Drosophila melanogaster: one gene and its partner. The protein of the gene in region 1 interacts with the protein of each later gene in a biochemical or structural test. Each region holds a gene or a part of one and is shown in the gene's direction. Other genes may lie near its edges. The genes, in order: Nrg and pyd.

Region 1 (10,895 bases):
TTAATATGAAATAGAAGCAAATAATAGCAATAAGATGTTCGAATAGTTATACTTTTAATTTGAAATGCAAATGTACTTTCCCTACTTTGTGTATTCGTATTTATCCATCAATTAGACAGCTTTAAATATAATTAAATTGCAATAGAATAGACTTGGTAAACTGATACAGTTTAAGGTATTTAATCTCCCTTCAGTTCGACAAGTACAAACGCCAAGAAAGGCGAATAGAAACGACAGCGTTAATTACGCCAAATTAAATTGTAAAATTGTAAAAATTTGCTCTATGGAATGGGTGCCCCATAAAATGGGTTTTACACCAAGTCAAGTACAAAGTAAATCGCAAATTAGTTAATTGCACATTTGAGCTGAATTCATCATATTGTGTGGGAAAATTCCAAGCAGCGAAAGAGTAAACATACATCCATAGGTAAATCGAATGATTATGAGAAGTGACAAGATTATATATTTATTTGCAAGCATATGTCACCATTTGATAAGACCAACAAATTACAGCAAATACAATTATGCAGATAAGGACACTTTATGGCTTTGCCTCATCAATAATCCTGTGCGATGAAGCCACGTGATAAAATTAGAAATCAGCTATAAGTACGCATTACACTTAAACAATCTGTTCGAGATTCAAGACTTCAAGAGCCACTCAATCAAACTGAAACCAGACAAAGCTCGGCTATTTTTAAACCTTTCCCCACGATTTGTGTACCTGGTGAATTGGCACAATTCCTTTTAGAATGTTTTATTTATGGCTGTGAAGTATACACATGCAGATATGCATAGTACATGCGTGTTAAATAGTTAACGTTTAATTTGCCCGCTAATTGATGGTAAAACTTCTGGGCCAAACTGGAGACTCAGCCAGTTACAGGCGGCCAATGCCCGAAACGAACTGAAAATATTGGTTAAATCTGGAGGAGATTTATTGCTGAGCCATAAATATGCTCAAATATTTGCTTTAGAACTTAATTGGGAATTAGAGAAGGTGTATTTTTAATAAGGTTCTCAACGAAAATATAATTACTTGTTAATAAGTTGTTGTAACCAAGTAAGTAATCCGATCTATCCGTTCATTAATTTCTTATATTCCCTTTTCTCTCGCCCAATTTAACCAGAAATGGTATGTCTTCAAGAACGTAAGCGAGCTGTTCATCCTGGTGCCGGCACTTTTGGGTCTCAAGGGCAACCTGGACATGTGCCTGGCATCGCGTCTCTCCACGCAAGTGAATCTGGGCAACATGACCAGCAGACAGGGCGTAATACGGATGATAGTGGGGAACATAGCACTGGTGCAGGTCCAGGCGACGGTGGCCTCCTTTCTGGTGGCCATGTTTGCGGTGAGCGTGGGCGCGGCCATGACCGGTGACTTCTATTTCGAGAACATGATGCTGCTGACTGCCTCGGCCATGTTCACGGCCACCTCGTCGTGCTTTGTGCTGGGTAGGATTGCACCTGCGACTTTTCCATTCCATACACTCTCAATTATATTAATGGCGTTTCTTTAATTTTAGACTTCGTTTTGGTGGCTGTAATCCTGTTCTCGCAGAAGTACCGCCTCAATCCGGACAACCTGGCCACACCGTTGGCCGCCTCCATTGGTGACGTGGTGTCCATCAGTTTGCTCTCCTTTATCGCCTCGCTGCTGTACGATCATATCAGTATGTGTCTATATTATATTATATTATCCATTTGTGTATATCTAACTAATGGCTGTTCATTTTCGCACAGAAACGCACCTGTGGATCACATTCATCGTGGTCACCTGCTACCTGGTGCTGTTGCCCATGTGGGTGATGATCGTGCTGAGGAACGAGTACACGCGGCCGGTGCTAAAGAGCGGATGGGTTCCCGTCCTCTCGGCCCTCTGCATAAGTGGGTACGTACTGCGTACTAATAATAACTGGGAACTACGAACTGCGCACTCTGGCAAATCAATTCGATTCGATTGGATCGAACTCTCGAATCTTAGGGACAATAAAATTGGGGTACCATGATAAGCAGAAAAGACGTCAAGCTGGCCGCTATATTTAGATATATCAGATCGTTTCATTTAATGCCCAATCATGTCCAGGCGATTGTTTTTTGTGGGGAGTAATGAGTAGCCGAGACCATGGGAATCATTCGCACGGTTTGATGTCCCTGACTCGTGTTTGGCGACAGGTCAAGTGCTCTTATAATTAGAATTTAGCATTAGGATTTGAATTCCCGGGCGTAATTACTCGCCATGACTGGGAAATTTACGGCAATAGAACTTCAAAAGACAAACACACTTGAGTTGGTTCGAATCAGAATTAAAATCAAATGAAATGAAGTCAACAATGGGTTTAAGTGCAACTACTGACTGCTGTATTTAACTGATCCGATTACTGAATCATTCCCTCATCTCATTACAGTCTGGGTGGCCTTGTGTTGGATGCCGCCGTCGAGGTGTTTAATGGATTCGTAGTGTTTCAACCGATCATCAACGGAATCGGCGGCAATCTGGTATCGGTGCAGGCCAGCAAGATATCCACAATGCTGCACCAGAGCTCAATTATCGGGATTATACCACCGCACACGCAGATCTTCGAGTGGCCTTGGCGGGCGCTCTTCAAAGGAGGTAGGTCTCAATCAGAATTGGCAATTGGTAATGGAATCGGGTTATTATTCATTTGTGCTCTTCATACAGTTCCCTATGCGAAGACAGCGAGGATACTTATTGCCATGTCCATACCCGGCAATGTTCTGTTCATCTTTGCTGCTGACTATATAAACTATAGCACCTCGACGGTCACCTGGGTGTTTGTGCTTTCCTATTTGACCGCCAGTTTGGTTCAGGTGAGTTTTGAATATGCTAAGGCCGTTTGCTGATGTATGTACATACATACATACATATGTCATTATAAACCCTCCGAAAACACAACGCTAATGTGCTGCGATCGTTTCAGGTGATGCTGCTGCTGTATATTGCCCACATCATTGTGCACGCGATGTGGAAGTGGAAGATCGATCCGGATAACTCGGCCATACCCTACCTGACGGCCTTGGGCGATCTGCTCGGCAGCAGTCTGCTGGCGGTGGCGTGGCTCTTCACCATGTCGGTGGGCATGCAGTACGGATCCGGAATGGAGACACTAAACGCACCTAACTAATGTAGCTAACGAAATAGGGAGTACGGAGTAACGTAGAACGATAAACAAGGCAGCCACACATACACACACACCATACAATATAAAGAACTGTTATGTACCTAAAACAAATATACAGAAAACATAGAAATTGTACGTATAGCCAGCCTCCTCCAGCCACCCAAAAATCTTAAATCCAAGACAAAAAAAAAAAACCTCCCAACACCAAACGGAAACGGAAACGGAAACCGCTATAAAACGAACTAACTTTTAATGATGCATGTCGAATGCTCGAGGCGAGAGATATTAAGAGATATGATATCATTTTACATTGTGTCCTTCTTCACATGGCTTTTGCTTGTGTTCCTTTTGCTCTACCGAGAAATTATGTGCGATTATGGTATATATACAGGCTATATATAGGCATATGTAGAATTGCAGGCCGCTGCGTCATATTTTTTAAGGCTTTTAGGACAATATTATACACATTTAAAGAAAAGTATATACATTGTATAGGGAGAAAAAGACGACGAAGAATTACTAAAAGAACATTTACGCCACGCAAATTGTTTTCTCCCACTTTGGTTCTTGATTCTTTCGCTCTTGATTACCTTAAACAGCCAAATAATAATTGCAAAACGTAGACGTAAATAGAGCCTACTTAAATCCTTAATTTACACTTAACCAATTATGTAGTATTAGCGCAGATTTGATTTTTGCAAGTCTCGCTTTCGATTTTGTTTTTTTTTTTAATATTACTTTTCTCATTGTCCCCTTCCATCCCCCTTTCCATTTCCCCCCCGCAGAGCGCGAGCGATAAAAAGAAATAGGAGAAGCAATAATTAAACCGCGAATTGCGATATATATGATTGCAAATTAGTTAGGACGATGGAAAGGAAGTGTGTATGCAGGAGTTTGTGCGTTCTGCTCCGCATCAAAAAGTGAACAGGGATTAAAATGATGAGAATGAGAGACGTTCTGAAAGGAAATGTGATCGATATTTAGTTATAACAATAATAATAATAATAATAATAAATTAATTGAAAACGTAAGAGAAAAGGCATCAATATTGTGTAATACTTGAAACAATAATACCAATTAAATAAATATGTTGGAATAAACGAAAGAAATCCAAATAGTTTCAATATCTTTATAATTAATTATGTTTCTGTTTAGCGTTGCTCAGAATTGTAATTAAAACGTAAAACCATTTGAATTTGAATATTTTGGCGCCCAGTTCATCAATCGATATATCATTCATGTTATGGGTAGCATTGAACACACTATCGATAAGAGTCTCTAAAGAGTTACAAATATCGATAAGAGCGTAGGTTATTTAAAAGTATATCGCATCCCTGGTAATCAATCGATAGTTGGTATATCTTAGATAAATATCGATAACCGTAAACCAGTTTGTCGGTGATGCCACCCCGCATTCCGTGCGTCCGATTGTTACCGTTCGCGAGGCTGGCAGTTCCTCTCCGCATTCGAAAAGAAAATATCCGCGCTGCTGGTTGTGTATGTCCGCCAAATCGTATTTACTGAAAACTACGCCGAAAACACCGCGATACATATTCGCAGCCGAGCGAATATATATCGTTATTTGGGTGTTTAAGCACTAACTTTATTTATTTTTTCCTAAAAATTCCGCGTGTATAACATAACTGTCCCAGTGTGTGTGTATATGCGTCGGTGTTAGTGTTAGTGAGCGCCGGGAATTGAAAATAAAATAGTAAAAAAAAGAGGAAAAAAAACGAACTGACGCCGCGTAGAAAATTGTCTTATTTACTCCGCCAATATATAAATTGGTTTTAGCTCTGCCTTCGCTTTTTTTTTTTAGTGTGCGTTCGTGTGTGTGAGTGTGCGGGTGTGCTTGTCTGGGAATTGTTTTAAAAAAATAAGAAAAATTGGTTGCCAAACGAAAGGAAGAAAAAAAAACCCAAAACAAAATTGTTTGTCTCCTTGCGTTACTTCCACCTTCATTTTTTGTTGTTTTTTTACTTTGCACACTGTGCCGCACCCAAAAAGTTAAATAGTTGATGGTTTTCATTAATGCAATTGATTAAAAATGAATGGCAATGCAATATTGTACGAAGCACACGATGACAACAAAAAAGGAGAAGGAGAGCAAATCGGAGGACGCCAAAAGCCACGCAAAGGCAACAACAACAGCAACAATGGGCGCCATTAACTGTACAAGAGCGCTCAAAACCTCAACATTTAAAGCTCTGTGTTTTTTTTATTTTTCCTATTTTTTTGTTGTATTCTAGTTGTTTTTGTATGTACATATGTATTTACCACGAAGCCAAAACTTCGTAAGCGAGTTATTGAGTGGCTCCTTCTCACTCGCTCCGTCTCTCACGCTTTGGCGCGTCGCCCTCTCCCGCCTTCCTCTCTCTCTCTTACCTGAGTTTTGAGTTTTGGATTCTTGAGCGCTTTTTGGCAGAATCCCGTCATCTAGTTGTTGTTGCTGCTGCTGGCTTCTATGACTTAAAGGTAAGCATTATGGATTTGAACCAAGTTTTCGTCCAAGGGCGTAATCTTAACTCCACACACACTGTTTTTTTCTTTTCATTTTTATTGGTGGCTCTAAAACAGGTTTTCTAGCAGCTAGCGAAGATGGTGACGAAGAAGAAGAGCGCAGACAATGAGCGCGAATTACGGCATGTGTGTGTGCGTGTGTCGGTGTTCTTGTTTTGGTGTGTGTGTGTGTGTGTGTGTGTAAGGTGGGGCAGCTTCAAGAGATCACTTTTTGAGCTCTTTTTACGTTTTTTGCCCTCTCCCTCGTTCGTCGCCACTTTGGCGCTCTTCTCGCATTTTCACATGTACTTTCCACGTTCCTAGCGATTTCTCTCTAAATTCTTTCGATTTCATACCTCAAGTACAGAGATAACGGGTTTTCCATTTACAATTTAGAAGATACAAAAAACAAACAATCTTTTAGCGTTTTCAGTTTTATTTTCGTCTAAGCCATTTAATTCATTTACTTTAAAATTCTTTAAATTTAGCAATATCTGAAACAACTGATTTTCAATTTTTTTCAATGATTCTCAATTGCAAACTGAATTGAGTTTAGTTAGGTAAATATATACATTTTGTACTTCTCTCCGCTATTTTTTGTGGTTTTTGCTTTTGACCATGCGGTCATCGCGACGACGTCATCGTTGTGAATAGGTTTATATATATGTATGTACATATATGCATATGTATATGGCAGTTCGTTCCGCCCCAGCAACGCCGTCGACAGCAATGCCTCCGCCCCGAATCGACCCAAAAACGTATCAAGAAAAATAATAATAAATAAATAAAGAAATAACAGAAACTGAAACTGCGTCAACTGAAGCAGCATTAAAAATTAGCTAGTTAATAAATGCCCTTGTTGGCCTTTTGGTGTGGGGATGTCCGGCTAAAGATACAAGATACAATAAGTGATGAAGATATTACTTCACATGCTTACAACATATTAAAAGTATTTAAATAAAAAATATTTGCTAAAATTGTACGAGTTTTTGATAACAAGTTTTATCAACCGGCGACCACAACAGCAAAAAAAAAAAAAAAAAAAAATTTAAGTGCAAATTTCAAAAGTTAATTCAAGAATAAATGTTTAAGCAAACGAAACCAAATCCAAAGTCACTTTGCTGATATGTAATCGCAGCTATTTTTTTTATTTCAAGCACAGTGTGATGATAATTTTCGGCCATTCTTGACTTTGAAAAAATCAAGGCCAAGGTGATCGGAGAATATTTCCATGTTGCATGTGAAAGACTATTACTATTATTTATAAATTCAAGTCCCCTTTCAATGAGGCTAACCTCCAGTAACTGGGATCGTTTTCAATGAGAGCGATAAGAAAAGAACTTGAAACGAAACATTGAAGCTTTATCGATAGAGAAACATCCCCTATAATTTATGCCATTAACAATTGGAAAAGTCAAGCATAATTAAAGCAGTTCATTAATTGAGTAGGTACTGAAATGGACACTCACACTCGAGGCCATTTGAATAGGTACAAAGCATCTACTATTTACTGTTTTTTTTTTGGTCATGCTTCGCCTATTTGCTATTTGGTGATTTTTCGCATATAAATTTTCAATTTGTCAACAATAAATCATACGCAGATCACTGATTACTCTCTTACATATATTTATATGTTCTTGGATTTACTTGGTTACTTGGGAGCTTTTTCCTATATCTTGGATTCCTAAACCTCAAATATATTCCATATTGCCACTTACATACATGTGTATGATCTTGGGTGATTTTCCTCGTAATTGAATTGTTCTTGAACGCCAGAGGCGAACTTTTCGTTTATCAATTCTCCTGGGGCTTTTGTAATTTGTGTGTTATCTACTTTTGAGTCGATCAATTCTTGATTCACACTTGAGGCACTATATTGGTTTTGTCACTTCTGTTGGCTGCTGAATGTACATACATACATACATAATATGATATCATCGATATCTATCTGCGAACTCTCGCGCAATTTATGAGAGATTTATGTTGATATTTTCATATTTTTTTTGGGCGTGCAATTGCCTGGCATTTGTTATAATTAAAATGGAACGCCCCAAAAAGTTGGGGGAGCTGGTAGGAATCAGCAGGCATATATACTCGTACACAAATTTGTGCGTTCCAAGTGGATAAATACATACATATGTATATATGTACCTATAAATTTATGCGTTTTTGTGCGGCAATGTGTGTGTGTGTGTGTTGGATATATATTGATATCATCGCCGCGATCTGTATCTTTTTCGAAGCTCTACCATGTGGACGGTCTTCTCGGATCTCATTTTTAGTCTTTTCATCTCTTGAACAGCTGTGGCTGATGGCGATTGCGTCATTTTCATTCGACATTTCTGCCGCTCTGCGACCAGTTTTTAATCCAATTCCGTCCGTTGGCCACGAACAAAATCCTTTTATGATGTCATTTCAAATGTTGCATGTCGCATGTCGCAGGCCTCAGGCCAAAAAAGAACAACAAAAATGAAAAAATCCAAAAAAAAAAAAAATCCTTTCTCGTTCACAAAATCAATAGTAAAAGCCAGGAAATACAGCTTTTTTTCACTTCGCTACTCCGCAAACAAACAGAAAACACACAAAAACGGCGTGCTGATGTCATCATTCATTGCCTTCGAGAATTGGCCTGTTTCTTGGTTAGTTTCCCCACATTTCATTTTTTTTTTCCCTATTTAAACAAACTATATACATATATCATATCCGATTTGCTATTTGCATGGCATACCATGCTTTCTGGTAAATGAACCAACATTTAGTTATTTGAAACGCTCATCAAGATTACCAATTCTTCGTATAAAAATGTAGGAAAATGTATTATTACTTAAATTGATAATATATTTGTAGCATTTGATATAAGCTTAACAATTTTTTGAGCGGATGTGCTTTGATTTGAATAAAGATAAACACCGAAAAAACTTCATAGAATTCCGAATCAATCATCTCAATTTTCTTTCTAGCTAAACTTTTGTTGAAAGCATAAGGGTTAAGGCGGCAAAGTGTGCCTGTACTCTTGTGGGTTAAGGGGATGCGATGCCGGTTCGCGGTTTTCGCGGTTATCGCGCTTAGATGTCTGTTGTTTTACTTTTATTTATCATTTTTCGTTGCCAAGCTTTTTTTCGAAACTGAGAAAAAAAAATGTGCTTGTTTTAAATAATTAATCTTGTAATTAAAGTTGCTTATATTTGAAATTCATATTAACTTTAGCTGATATACCAATTATAACGCAGAACACTACTATATTATAGCATTTAAAAAATAAGTGCTTGTAGTATTGCATTTTTGATTTCCTGACTAATAATTGGCTTCTATGTTCTGCGCCCATTTTTTTGCCAAGTGCATTTTGTTAGTTTGTTAGTTTCGCTTGTTTTATCAGCCGTTTTTGCGGCTGCTCTAGGTGCCAGTACCGCTGCTCTGCCGGCGTCTAAAAGTGCATTGCACTTTTAAGTGTTTTCGGCCTGGGAAATCGGATGGAAAGCGGGAAAAGACGCCAGAGAAAAGCCCCATGTGGCACAGTTGCAAATAGACGAAAAAAAGAAGTAGAAAAAAAAAAATATGGGAAAAAGGGAGACAGACAGGAGTAGCGAGTGCAATTTGCATTAGCTTTTCGCTATGTTTTAGTTCTTGTGCACTCACCGCCAACTTCTTGTTTGCATTTTCACCATTTTCACCATTTTCCATGCCCAATGGGGCTACTTGGGGACCCTCTTGTCATTTGGGTTAAATGCGAGCAGGCGTAGAAAAAGGGGCATGGCACTTTTTTTTAATTAAACTGAAAGAAACGCTGAGTTTGAAAGGCAACTGGTATTTCGAAATAAAAATATCTCAATTGAATTACCATTCAGACGATCATTGCAAACTACTTTTAAGTGGGTTAACTTGCTCCTCTTACTGCATTTGCAATACGTAATGTACAATTACAGATTATTGAACTTTTGTTGCGATTTAATTGATCAATCAACAAGACAACGCAATAAAGTGAAATTATCTTGAAAACTTTATCATTATTTACTTGTATATTTGCGATCTACAGGCGATCGCGTTTCATTTTCTGCAAATGCAAACAATTTTTTTTTGCCGGCATTTACTCGTATTTGATCGAATTTATCATTTAGTTTGTTTCCAGTCTTAAACAAACAACAAATAAAGCTTCGTCGTTTTATGGAGCTTTTTTCCAGCCTCAAATTGTGACTCAAAGCCAATTCAAGCTTATATCTTTCCCGATTTGTGTGTTTGTTCATTTTTTTTCAGGTATATTTTTTTTTTTTTTGTTTATTTATGTATTATCGGACACACCCAGTGAGAAAAAATTTGTATGACAAGCTGCCACTTTTTTCTTGTGTGTGTGTGTGTGTGCTTTTTTTTTTTTTGAGCCTCTCTCTTTGCCGCTCTTATTTTGTTTATTCTTCAGATTTGGTGGGAAATGGAATTGTACAATTGATCTTTGACAGTTATATCAGTTTGAATCATACATATATGTATGCATGTATGTATGTGTGTAGTTTAGGCGTGGCTAACTGCTAAGTGTAGAAGTATCTACATAATTATGGCAATTAACAGACGACTGACCCACATAATGAGCACTTATGTAAGCTAAAAAGTAACTGGAATATTTTGTAATATCTATCTGTAATATTTATTTGCTGTTCTTTGACCTTTGGGAATTCTAAAGAAATCCATTAGTTTGATGAATATCTTATACTTCTTTTTTTTTTTTTTTAGTTTTTTGTTCGTGTTGTGGGGCTACTAAACTTCCGTTTAGTGCGTTAGTTGGCCCGCTTTAAATGTGGTTAAACTGAGGATACTAGCGTATGTTGTGGATATAGTGTGGATATTAGTGGGGTTGGTGGGGCGACGAGAGCTCCCGTTTCATAAATTGCATTATGTTGCCGGCGAATGGAGCAAAGTTGCCACCGCCAGAGGAGCATTGAACTTCTCGTCTGTGGTCCGGAAACCTGACAGCAACTCCCAGTGGAAAATGCGCCACCCCGAACCCACTTTCCTTCCAGCCATTTGGTTAAAAGTTTTGCGTCAGCTTTGCTCACTTCCTTTGAATTTTCCGCACGCGGTGGAAATGCTCGTTGTGGGAGAGCGCGGTGCGGGGGAAATTTGTGTTTGCGTGATTGATTGATTGCGGAAAAGTTTACTTTTTTAGTGGGTTAAAAAGCGGTTTAATTAAGTGATCAAGCTGGTGTAAATATAGATATTTGTTTTACGTTAATAGTGGATAAATTAAACAAAGTTTTTATGTTT
Region 2 (10,556 bases), on another chromosome or scaffold:
AATTGTTATCAAAACACCGCCGCACACACACACACTCACACCCCTCCAGGGGAGAAATACTCGAAATGCGGGCTAATCCACACCCAACTTTAATTAACAAGTGTAATTGATAGAACTTTCAATCGAACCGGGTGCACTGCGCCCTTTCCTTTCATTAATCTCACCAATTGCAAGAAAAGTGAGCAGACAAAGGCAGATGTCAATAAAAGCCGCAGACGTCGTCTTGGCCCAAATGACACACATTTTCGGACATGGAAAATGGGAAAATAAATGCGTGACAAGTGAAAATGTTGCGTTTTCTTGGTGGGGCACCCAAGCAAGACACCACCACTTCATCTGTGTTTATTTTTAATAACACCAATAACAACAGAAACAGTTTACTTTGTTTTTTTTTTTTTGGTTTTTCTATAAATTTTTTCTGAAGAGTCATGGCAATTTAAGACAAGCTGCAGAAAGCAAAGGATAGAAAGAGAGAGGGACTAATTTTTAAGCGGCTGACATTTATTTTGCATGACATTTCACACACGAAGACCCACGGGCATATGGAAACTTTGGGTGTGCACCTCGTTATCCAGGGAATTGTCTCCACAGAGAATGTTTCGGTTCTTGTAATACCCTTCCAAAAAGTATATATACTCGGACCAAAACTTGGTTGCCACAACAGTTAAATTTGAGAAAATTTGCTAAAAACAAAAATATTATGGTATAAAGATAACCTACCATATTTCTTGTTTATATTTATAGTTTTAATATGAAAATGGTATATATTATTATGTACATACTAACATGGGATTTTAAGGTGTTGTTTTGTGTCATTCGATTTTTATAAAATCAATTTTCTTTATATTTTTTTTTTTACATTAAATATGAAAGGGTATTTCGCAGTCTTTATTCTTTTATACAAGCTAATATTTTCCTCTGATTTGTTTCTTTTCCCTTTGTCCGACGCTCTTCGTTGATGCTTTTATTTTGGTCCCCCGATATTGAGCAATTTAGTCAAACAGAATGTTTGTTCTTATTTGGCGCACTCTCTTCCGCTTGACGTCTTCCCCCCACCCCCTTCTCCACTGCCGCAGCACAAATAACTCACTCTCCCAATTTTCTCAGTGTTTTCGACGATTTTCGAGTCTGTCGCGCATGTTTCCGTCCGAGAGGGTTGTATTTGTTGGTGGATGCCCCACGGCGGCTACGAGATTTCCGTGGCTCTATTCGAAATCAGTTCGGAAATTGCCGGCGGTCAGCACATTTACTTTGAACAGCCGCGGCGTGAAGTGAAAAGTTCTATTCGAAAAGAAAAATCACGTTTTATTTGAACTTTTCTATCTTAGTTTATATCTAAGAACATTTTCGTGTGTGCGCTCGTGTTTCGTTATTAACAATTGTAAATGATATAGTACAGAAAAATTGGGATATGTTTTGAAAATTACTGGGAAATTCGCTGACCCAATCAAAGTATTTTTAGAATGATTTACGCGAGCAAATCAGTGAGCAGTGTGGACAATGGACTCGCCATAAACAAATAAGCAATGAAAAATATTTAAATATTGAAATAAAAAGTAACAGAAATAAATATAAATAATAAAAAATGAAATAATAAGGATAATTGCTTTCAACAATTATCTATAAATAATTTGAAACATTTTTTAGAATTGGCGACCAGCCATGCAAATGATTTGCTCCCCTTTTTCTGACTGATTTCACCATTTCCATAAACACAGGCGCCTCATATGCTAATTTTCCTTTGCGCAATCAAAAATTATACATCATTTTATACTACGCGCCTATCCATCCGGCTGTTTTCCCCCATTTCTCTCGTTTGTCATTAATCACGTTTAATATGCAATTCTATGCTGTAAAGAGGAAAATAATTGCAACAATAAAATAAATATAAACAACAGCGGGAGTGGCAACCCAAATCCGTTGTAATCTTCATATCCGGAGTGTCGTTGTCTGTGAATTCTGCAATTGGACTCTCCAGTTACACATTTTCCCCTCGGGGATCACTTTTTGCATCATCATTATGGATGGATGGAGCCTCTTTATAGAGAGTTTCTGTATAATGTGGAGTTCGTTTTTTAGTGGGGGGTTGGTTTGGTATATAGGAAGTGCGGGTTAAACGGGAGTCTGCCACTCAGTCACTTCCTTGTTTGACATTTTAATTGCAATGTTGATGGATTTCACTGTTGACACTTTCCTTTTTCACCCCATTAATGAATAATGAACGTTTAGTCTGCAAATTTACTAGCTAGCCAGGCCGCAAAGTTAAATTTGCCTTTCGTGCATACATACAGATATAGTAAATTAACAATAAGATTCCTAAAAGAACATTTTACTTAACAATTATGAAATACTTTCGGTTAAATGCCCTTTTAGCTTTCCCACTGATTTCTTTTGTGTTTCGGACCGTAGTAAATTGTCTGTAAAAAGTCGTGGCCAAGTTAAGTATCATAACTAGAACGTCTTCCGTTCAACACCTCATTAGGCGAACTTTTCAACAGAGGCCGAAAACGACTTTTAATTGTGCCCACTGGACATACACAACCCCTGAAATTTTTTTCTGGCGGGAAGCACAATTGTCCAGAGGGTGAACATGATAAATGCCTTAAATAATGTTCTTTTGCCACCAGAAAATATCCAAGACATGACCAAACTCTAGTGGAGCAATTAAGTGCCAGACCAACTGAAAATGTCATTTAACATTTGTCAGGTAAAAATAAAAGTAAAGCACTCAAATAAAAAACAGCAACAAGTTGCAGACTAATTAAATAATTGAAACATTTTACGTGGGAGTCGCAAAGACACAATGACAAAGAACTAAATGTGTGTGCAAACGAAAAGCCAAACAAATAAAGACATAAGAAAAACGATTCTACAATGTCGCAATTCGACTATGCCTGCTATACGGTGCCCGAGTGTTCCACGGATGATGATGATGATAATGACGATGAGCTGGGCAGTAATGTGACCCTGGAGAACAAGGATCATTCGGATTGCACCCTGGAATCGGATGCTACGACCACCACATCTTCACTGGAGCGTCATATGTATAGGAATCGGTATCGCTCTAATAGAAGTTTCGGACCACAGAGGGTTTCCATGCCCATTCTCAGATCCAGTCGATCCAGGGAGATGACGCCCCAGTTGGGCATGTATCATGAGGGACCGAATCGAGATCCCCAATGGGGTTACTTTGTACCCCTGTCGCCCAACTTCTTCTTTAGTCCACCGATGCAGAGGAGGCGTTATAGGTAGATTTACATTGTGTTTAGTACTTAAAACATATTTAGTTCTATTATTATCAAGTAAAACATACATTGAAAATTCTAATAAATTAAATTTAAATTTCCTTTCAGGGAAAAGGAAAACGATCGCAATCGTCGCGCTGTTAGTTATGGCGGTGACGCCACCTCCTCCCCCCATTCGGCCACCATACCCCGCGCCGCCCCCCGTCGGGTGGCCTTGATGAAGGATCCACCGCCACCGCCGCCACCCAAGCCGCAATTGGGTTCCAAAGCGGATTCTGTATCGCATTTGGCCAGCAAATATCCCCAATCCGAGTACAATCTCATACAGAAAATCGACTCGAACAGCACACTCACTGCTCCGGCGCAATATCAACCGCAGAATTTCTACGCTAATACTGGCACCATATCCTCTACGAATGGCTACGGATCGCTGTTATGTCACGCCAGTTCGACGACCAGTCCGCTGGCGGTCCGGAAGAGGGACAAACTGCTTCATCGCTTCAGCGATGCCGCCACCTTGGGCCGGAAGCTCAAGAAGAAGAAGAACACGAATCGCACCTGCAGATCCATGACGGAGGCCATTGAGATGCTGGCCGATCCCGTCATCGAAGATGAATTCTTTGTAAGTACAATGATTTATGCAAAGAAAATATACGTATTTCCATGGAATTAGAAACATAAAAATCTTTTGGAGCCTCTTAAAACAAAATAGAGTTTCTCAAACCATTTTTTGTCATAACATCATAGAACTTGATTGATATGTATTAAATATTTGGGTGTGGTTTTAAAATAGCTCGAGGTTCATCGTTCAAACCTTTTCATTCTTGGTTTTTTCCCCCAAACATCTGCCCCATTTCACAATTTACGCTTTTAAGGGGTGTATTTGTTTGGCTTAAGCCCCTCATTTCGTCTCATTTCACTTGGGCTCTGCTCAGCTCAGTCCAAGCTTTATCGCAATCACTTTTGTTCTTGTATTCTTCTCCGGCTGGAAACGCTATCCATTGGAAAATGTTCTCGTGTCCGATAGGCTCTTCAAATTCATTGAATTCATTTCAGTTTAGTTCGTATTTGAGCCTCGTCGCGATTGAAACGAAAAGAAATCCACACCAAAAATAAACGATTTTCGTAGGCGGAAGTGTTAGAAAGACAAACCTCAAACAGATAAGGTGGAAATAATAGGAAGTTGACAGATTGAAACTGAGAAGGGCCATTGAATTAAGTGGAGTGACAGAAGTGATAAAAGAAAGGGAAAATTTGAATATATTAAACAAGAAAAATGTGCACTTAGACAGAGGGATTTATATTTGGCCACATCTTTTCCACTTAGTTTTTAACTATAAATTTGGATATTATATTTATGATCCCTGTAAGATAACCTTGAAAGTATTTTCCGACGGCTGAACTCAATTCGCAATCATTAAGTGAAAAAGGGGCGTCAATAATACTATCAAAAGTTCAATAGACCGCACATTCATTGACCCAATCGGGGTACCTTTGAGTTTTTGCAATGTTTTGAGCTTGTAAATTGGTATTGGGGTCGATCAGGGCTAAGCCACAATTATTTGCCAAATCAGTCTTTAATTAACGAACTCAGAGTTGACAGATTAGCATGGCTCTCTTTCTCTCTATTCTCCATTCTGTCTCATCCATATGACAGCTCGGTTGACAGTTCAGGAAGACGAATGTGTCTAACAAAACAAGTGACTCGCAAACTGTGTCAATACTTTGGGTTCGAAAAACAATTTACCTTGCGCAAAGACGACGGCTCGAAAGGTGAACCCCGGCTAATTGGATTGGCAGTGCGTGCCTTCCAGCAAACAACAGAAAAGCAGAAAAAGTTGTTGCAATAAAATCAAACAATTGCAGTGGAAAATCGAACGTGCAGTGTGCCGAACGTGTTGGTCGCGTAAAACCCTTAAAAAATCGGTTATTTTCAATATAGTTTATAGGGTTTATCTCTTTTTTATTGGCCTCTCTCAGGCGTTTTTAAAAACACAAATGTTGCCTGCTTTTGTGCGCTGTTAAACAAGAACGCCATGAAAAATAATTCAACCATATCTATAGCATACTTTTACGCGGTCGAAAATTACATTTGAAAAAGAACAAAAAGTCTCTAAATTAACTCAACACCCTTGAAACACTAATCTGGTTTTATTTTTTTTTTTTTTATATATTTCCAAAGGAAAAAAATATAATTTTGCGTGATCTAATTTTACATGTAATCATAAAACATTCTATCGTCAGTCTAAAGACAGTGTAGATTTTATGTAAAATTAGCCAAGTGAACCTTAAAATTTTTGTTGTTTTTGTTGATTTATTTTATGGTTTTAGTTTGCAACAAATTGAATTTTTTAAAGAACAAAACATAAGTTTCTCACAAAAAAAAAATAATACTTTGGTTTCGACCGTGACAGGACTCGAACCTGCAATCTTCGGATCCGAAGTCCGACGCCTTATCCATTAGGCCACACGGTCGCTTGTTCCAAGCACGCTTAAACTCGAAAACATTTGATACGTGTGCAAGCAACCTACAGCACAAGGGTGGATTTTCTGTAGAGCAAACATTCTGTTATCGCGGGGTGCAAATACAAACGAACAAAAACGAAAATTAAATACAACAAAAATATGAAGCCCAGCACGCGACGTCGCAGTTTCAAAACGAAACCCCCCAAATCGAATGTATATAACCCACTCGTTCGCTATCGCCCGACAGCCTATGTCCGAAATGGAATTATTGGCGGCGCCGAGGGTCCCGGCTCGAGTGGAGTGTACCAAATCGCGGATAGGGTCTATACCACCAGCAAGATGTTTCTACGCGATGGCTATATGTACCCGCGTCAACCGGGTCAGACCATGGATCCCCGTTTCCCCCTCGAGTTGCACGAATTCCCTCAGCAATTCGGCGCCACTGGCCTGCAGTTGGTTAGTGCACCCAAGGTTCATATAGCCGGCGAATATCTGGCCAGTGAACAACAGCAGCAGCAGCAACAACAGCAGCAGCAGCATCAACAGGTGCAGGAGCAACAACAATTGGGCAGAAGAAAGGCTGCGGCAGCCGCCGAAATAAATTTGGCAAATCAGGTTTACTGGCTGGGCAAGCAAAAGACCAGATCCCGATCGCGTAGCAATAGTGTGGGCAATCGGAGCATAACCAGCTGCATGGGCGGCGGTGGAGGGGGTGGCGAAAAGGAAAGGGAACGCGGCGGGGATCGAGATCGCCCCTATATACGCAACGTTGACGATCTTCTCCAGGCACTGGGCAAAAGGGATGGGGGGGATAACAACAGCAATCTGCTCGAAACTGCATCGACGCACTCCTCATCGCAGCGAAGGCGCTTCAAGAAGGTGAGATACAGACTTACAAAGTGTGATAAATGCAACCAAATGCCCTCAAATCTCATTTTCATAAAATAAATAAAAAAAATTCTGGATACAAAAGAAAAAAGTTAATTTTACGACCGTGACAGGACTCGAACCTGCAATCTTCGGATCCGAAGTCCGACGCCTTATCCATTAGGCCACACGGTCAGTTGGCAACTCTGAAAAATATGACTAACATAAAGACGGGCTTTACAAATAATTTAGTTCACCGTTAACAGTTGCTAAATCGTTTTTTATCCGAATACCTCATTTGAGATTATAAATCTAGAACTCTACGTTAAAAACAGTAAATATAAAAATCTTTATGACAGGACTTAAAGTTGGTTATTTTACCCCTCAGATAGAATATATATATTTAAGGGAAATTCCTTGATTTCCTAATATTAAAATTCTTTACGCCATTGAATACCACCACCTCAGCCATCAATCACCGCATTGCATTGCTCTTGGGCAACATCGAAATTTGTCAACTCGCGTTGCAACACTTTCAATTGTCGCTGTGGCACCTTTTTTTTCCATTTGGCCACCTTAATTACATTCGTGGATGTATGTATGGAGGTAGTGTGGCTCGTTCCGCCAGGTCATCATCAGTCATCACTCGTGGCTTGTCTGCAGTGTCCAGAATGGAGGCAGTGAAGCCTACCGCCCCTGGGGTGCGTCTGCGCAAAAATTAAAATTAATGATGTTCAAAATTTCGCTTGGGGCCATTAATGGAAATGGGATGAAGAAATAAACGAGGTGAGAGATTGGCAAAGGCGAAATGGAGATGAAAGGAAGGGGAGAGCTGGTGGTCAGACGGTAGCTGCTAATTTGGCATCCTCGAACACACCTGCCCCCAAAATGATATTCACTGCGGCCTTTCAATTTCTCAAAAAGTTTCAAAGTCAAAGCTCGGCTGCGGTTCCTTTTACCTCTTTCATTTCAGGCCCTTTTTCTTTTGCTGACCATTTTATGCATTTTTAGCCGCTGCTGCTCAGGCTTCCATGACGATATAGACTTTTTTTGTCGGTTTGATTTTATTCTTTTGTTTTTCTGTTTCGTTTACGCTATCGTCATTAGTGGATATATATATATGTATATAGTTTTTGTTTTAGCTTAATTCCACATTCGCCTGGGGCACAATTTATGCGCTTCTGTTTCGAATCCAGATTCGGGCTCTGAGGAGCACTTGAGTTTGAGAAATTGGTTTCGTTGATTGTGCCTTTAAACATGGTCAAAACGGTGGGCGAATGTTATTAAGAAGAGTACTTACAAAATAGTTGAAAAGCTAACAAAAAAATCATAAAATATTTTATAATTTTATGTAGATAGAAAATTGAATACAAAATTTAAGTAATTTTTGGTTCATAAACAATTTTCAATCCACACAAACCCAATGTACTTCGCCTCCGCCCATGACTCAACTTCCGACGTGTGTATAAATCCATTTAGAACTCGGATGAAAAAAAATAAATTGCTGTTGGAAACCCAAGCGAAATGAACATAAATTTATCTCTTTAAATTCTTGCTTTAGACTCGGGTCGAATGGGTTAAGACATTTAAGCCAAATTCTGGGGGAAAATGACTTCAGTGTGACTTTCATATGCAAAGTAAACAAAAAGAAAAAACAATTGCGATGCAGCTCAAGTCTGGACGGGGACTTCCCCTTTGGCTGCAGTGGCTCGTAAATCGAATGAAGCACACGACTTCGTCACCCATCCCCCATTCCCCCTCCACTTTTGTGGTATCTTTCTGTGGTTCCGCTGGGGAAGCGAAGAAAGTTGCGCCAGTAACTTGTTTAAAACATTTTACAGATTTTCCTTTGCCGACAGTTTTTTGTTTTAATTTCGTATTCCAAGGCAGTAGTCACGTGCCAAGATATTTTTGTAGACGAATTGCTGCAGCTTATTGAAAATGCAAGGCAGAATAAACTCAATCAAGAAAAAAGGGAAAAAACTGTGTGATATCTTAATAAAGTCTGGCAGCTTATTAGTTATAAGTGGAAATATTACTATAAGAAACCATGCGGGGCAGAAAATATTATTATTAAAAAGTTAATGAGGACAAGCAAGAAACCAAAATTATTTACCCAAGAGTCAACATGTACAAATAAATTATGTGTTGAGGTAAATAAAACAGTCACAGAATATTATTAAATCTAAAAAATATAGTGTAAGCCTTCGGACACAATTATTGCACAATTTTTCAAAGGTAAAATACCTCCCTGGTTTAAATATATTTGGCCAAAAATTATGGGCCATGAAGTTTTATGCCTGCGCTGCAATAAAATAATACAAATTTGATTACACTTACCCGAATACATCCTACATTTCAATACTATTACCTAATATTACTCAATCATGTCACATTTGGTATCTACCATCACTTTCTTTTTATTAAAATTAATGACCTGATTTTACAATTTGTAAATTAATATTAAAAATGTTGTTCACAAACTAAACAATAGTTTCGAAATGTGTAGTTGCAGTGTAGCTCGCTCTCGTGTACAAATCAAATTATCCAATTGCAAGACTATTGTGCATAAGCCCCGATTTGCCACTCCTCCCGCCCCAAAGTTCGTAATGACCGGCAGTAGCCACCAGGTGGCGTAGTCACCAACATCTGTTTTTTCGTAATAGCAATAATTGTGTCAAAATATAAAAAAAAAAATGACAACGAAAAAACTTATACAGACACAGCGACAATTTGAAATGTTGCACGTGCTCAAGCGCTCAAAGAAATTACAAATAAAGAAAAAAACAACAATACGGGGAGATAAAGTAATAGCAGTGCATTAAGTTTTTTAAATGCTTCACATAAGCCAGGTCATTAACGAAGTCCCGTCTAGCAGATAAAAATCAGCGCCTCAAAAAAGCAGTTTGAGGTAATTGAATTTGGGAAATAAAAACAAAAAACATCTAAACGAGACGGACGTTATCGGCCAGAACTAATCAAAAACTTAATTGAAATACGTTTACTGGCTTCCCATTTTCCGTAACTCATTATTGCAACGTATATTTGTATATACAATAGTTGTAGCATGACCTAGGTTAATACTCAGCTATTTGACCCATTGGTCTTTGAGTTTTCCACTTTTCCCCTATCATTCCTCTGCACTTTTTGTCTACTCATTCCAGCCACTTGAGCAAACAGAAAACTTATTTTCTTTTGTTATTGTTAGGCTAGGACATGGGGACTATTATAATCAAACATCAAGCACTTTTTGAAATGCACTTAAAGAGGTTAATGATAAATAATTTCAGCTAAAACTATCTTATAGATGAAAAGTCCAAGAAAAAATGTTTGTACTTCTGTGTTTCCCTTTTTTTAGTGTAGTACTTTGTAGTTTTTCTTCGCCCAGTCAATTCCTTTTCCTTCAAAGCTTATGATTATGGAATTCACTGGCATACCTGCAAATCGAAGACATATACATGTATGTATATTTATGTGGAATAACGCCCTTGCAGCCGTTGACTCATTGCATTTTCATTGCACTTCAGCAGCCATCTGTTGAGCTCCTTTTTTTTACCTGTTTTTAAGTTCCTTAACCATTTCGCTCATTGCAAATTCACAGCAGCTCTGGCAACAGCAACAACAACCAGCATTCCTATAAATACCAACTTCACACTGCTGCATTGCCAGCAACAAAAAATAAAAACCACATAAAAACATCAGAATTTTGCCAAGTTTTTCTTTTATCTTTGATTGCAAACTTGAACAACAGCAACAACTGCGTAACTCCTTCGCACAAAGAAGAGGGGCAAATAAAAGAAAGAGAGGGACATGTGCAGGGATAAGTTCTTGCTTAACCCTATGCTATTAAACTCTTAATTATAAACTAAAAATTATAAGGATACAAAATATATAAAAAATATATTTTAAAAAAGACGAAGACTGCAAATATTCGCACATGCATTTTATTAAAAGGATTGACGGGTCAAAACTTTTGGG

What was found.
Region 2: the proteins of Nrg (region 1) and pyd interact in far-western blotting, tested with the Drosophila melanogaster proteins (one study listed by BioGRID).

Annotation. Positions count from the first base shown.
Region 1 is NC_004354.4:8,512,781-8,523,675, forward strand, and holds the start of Nrg (neuroglian), read left to right. Parts: upstream 1-4,707; 5' UTR 4,708-4,729; exon of another isoform or gene 4,730-5,618; intron 5,619-10,895. Other genes in the region: CG33181 (uncharacterized protein), read left to right, coding at 1,131-1,455, 1,527-1,673, 1,744-1,891, 2,409-2,614, 2,684-2,832, 2,943-3,146. UniProt on the Drosophila melanogaster protein: Essential for septate junctions. Septate junctions, which are the equivalent of vertebrate tight junctions, are characterized by regular arrays of transverse structures that span the intermembrane space and form a physical barrier to diffusion.
Region 2 is NT_033777.3:8,858,097-8,868,652, reverse strand, and holds the start of pyd (polychaetoid), read left to right. Parts: upstream 1-4,304; 5' UTR 4,305-4,411; intron 4,412-5,119; exon of another isoform or gene 5,120-5,151; intron 5,152-5,647; exon of another isoform or gene 5,648-5,659; 5' UTR 5,660-5,870; coding exon 5,871-6,590; intron 6,591-6,700; exon of another isoform or gene 6,701-6,773; intron 6,774-10,556.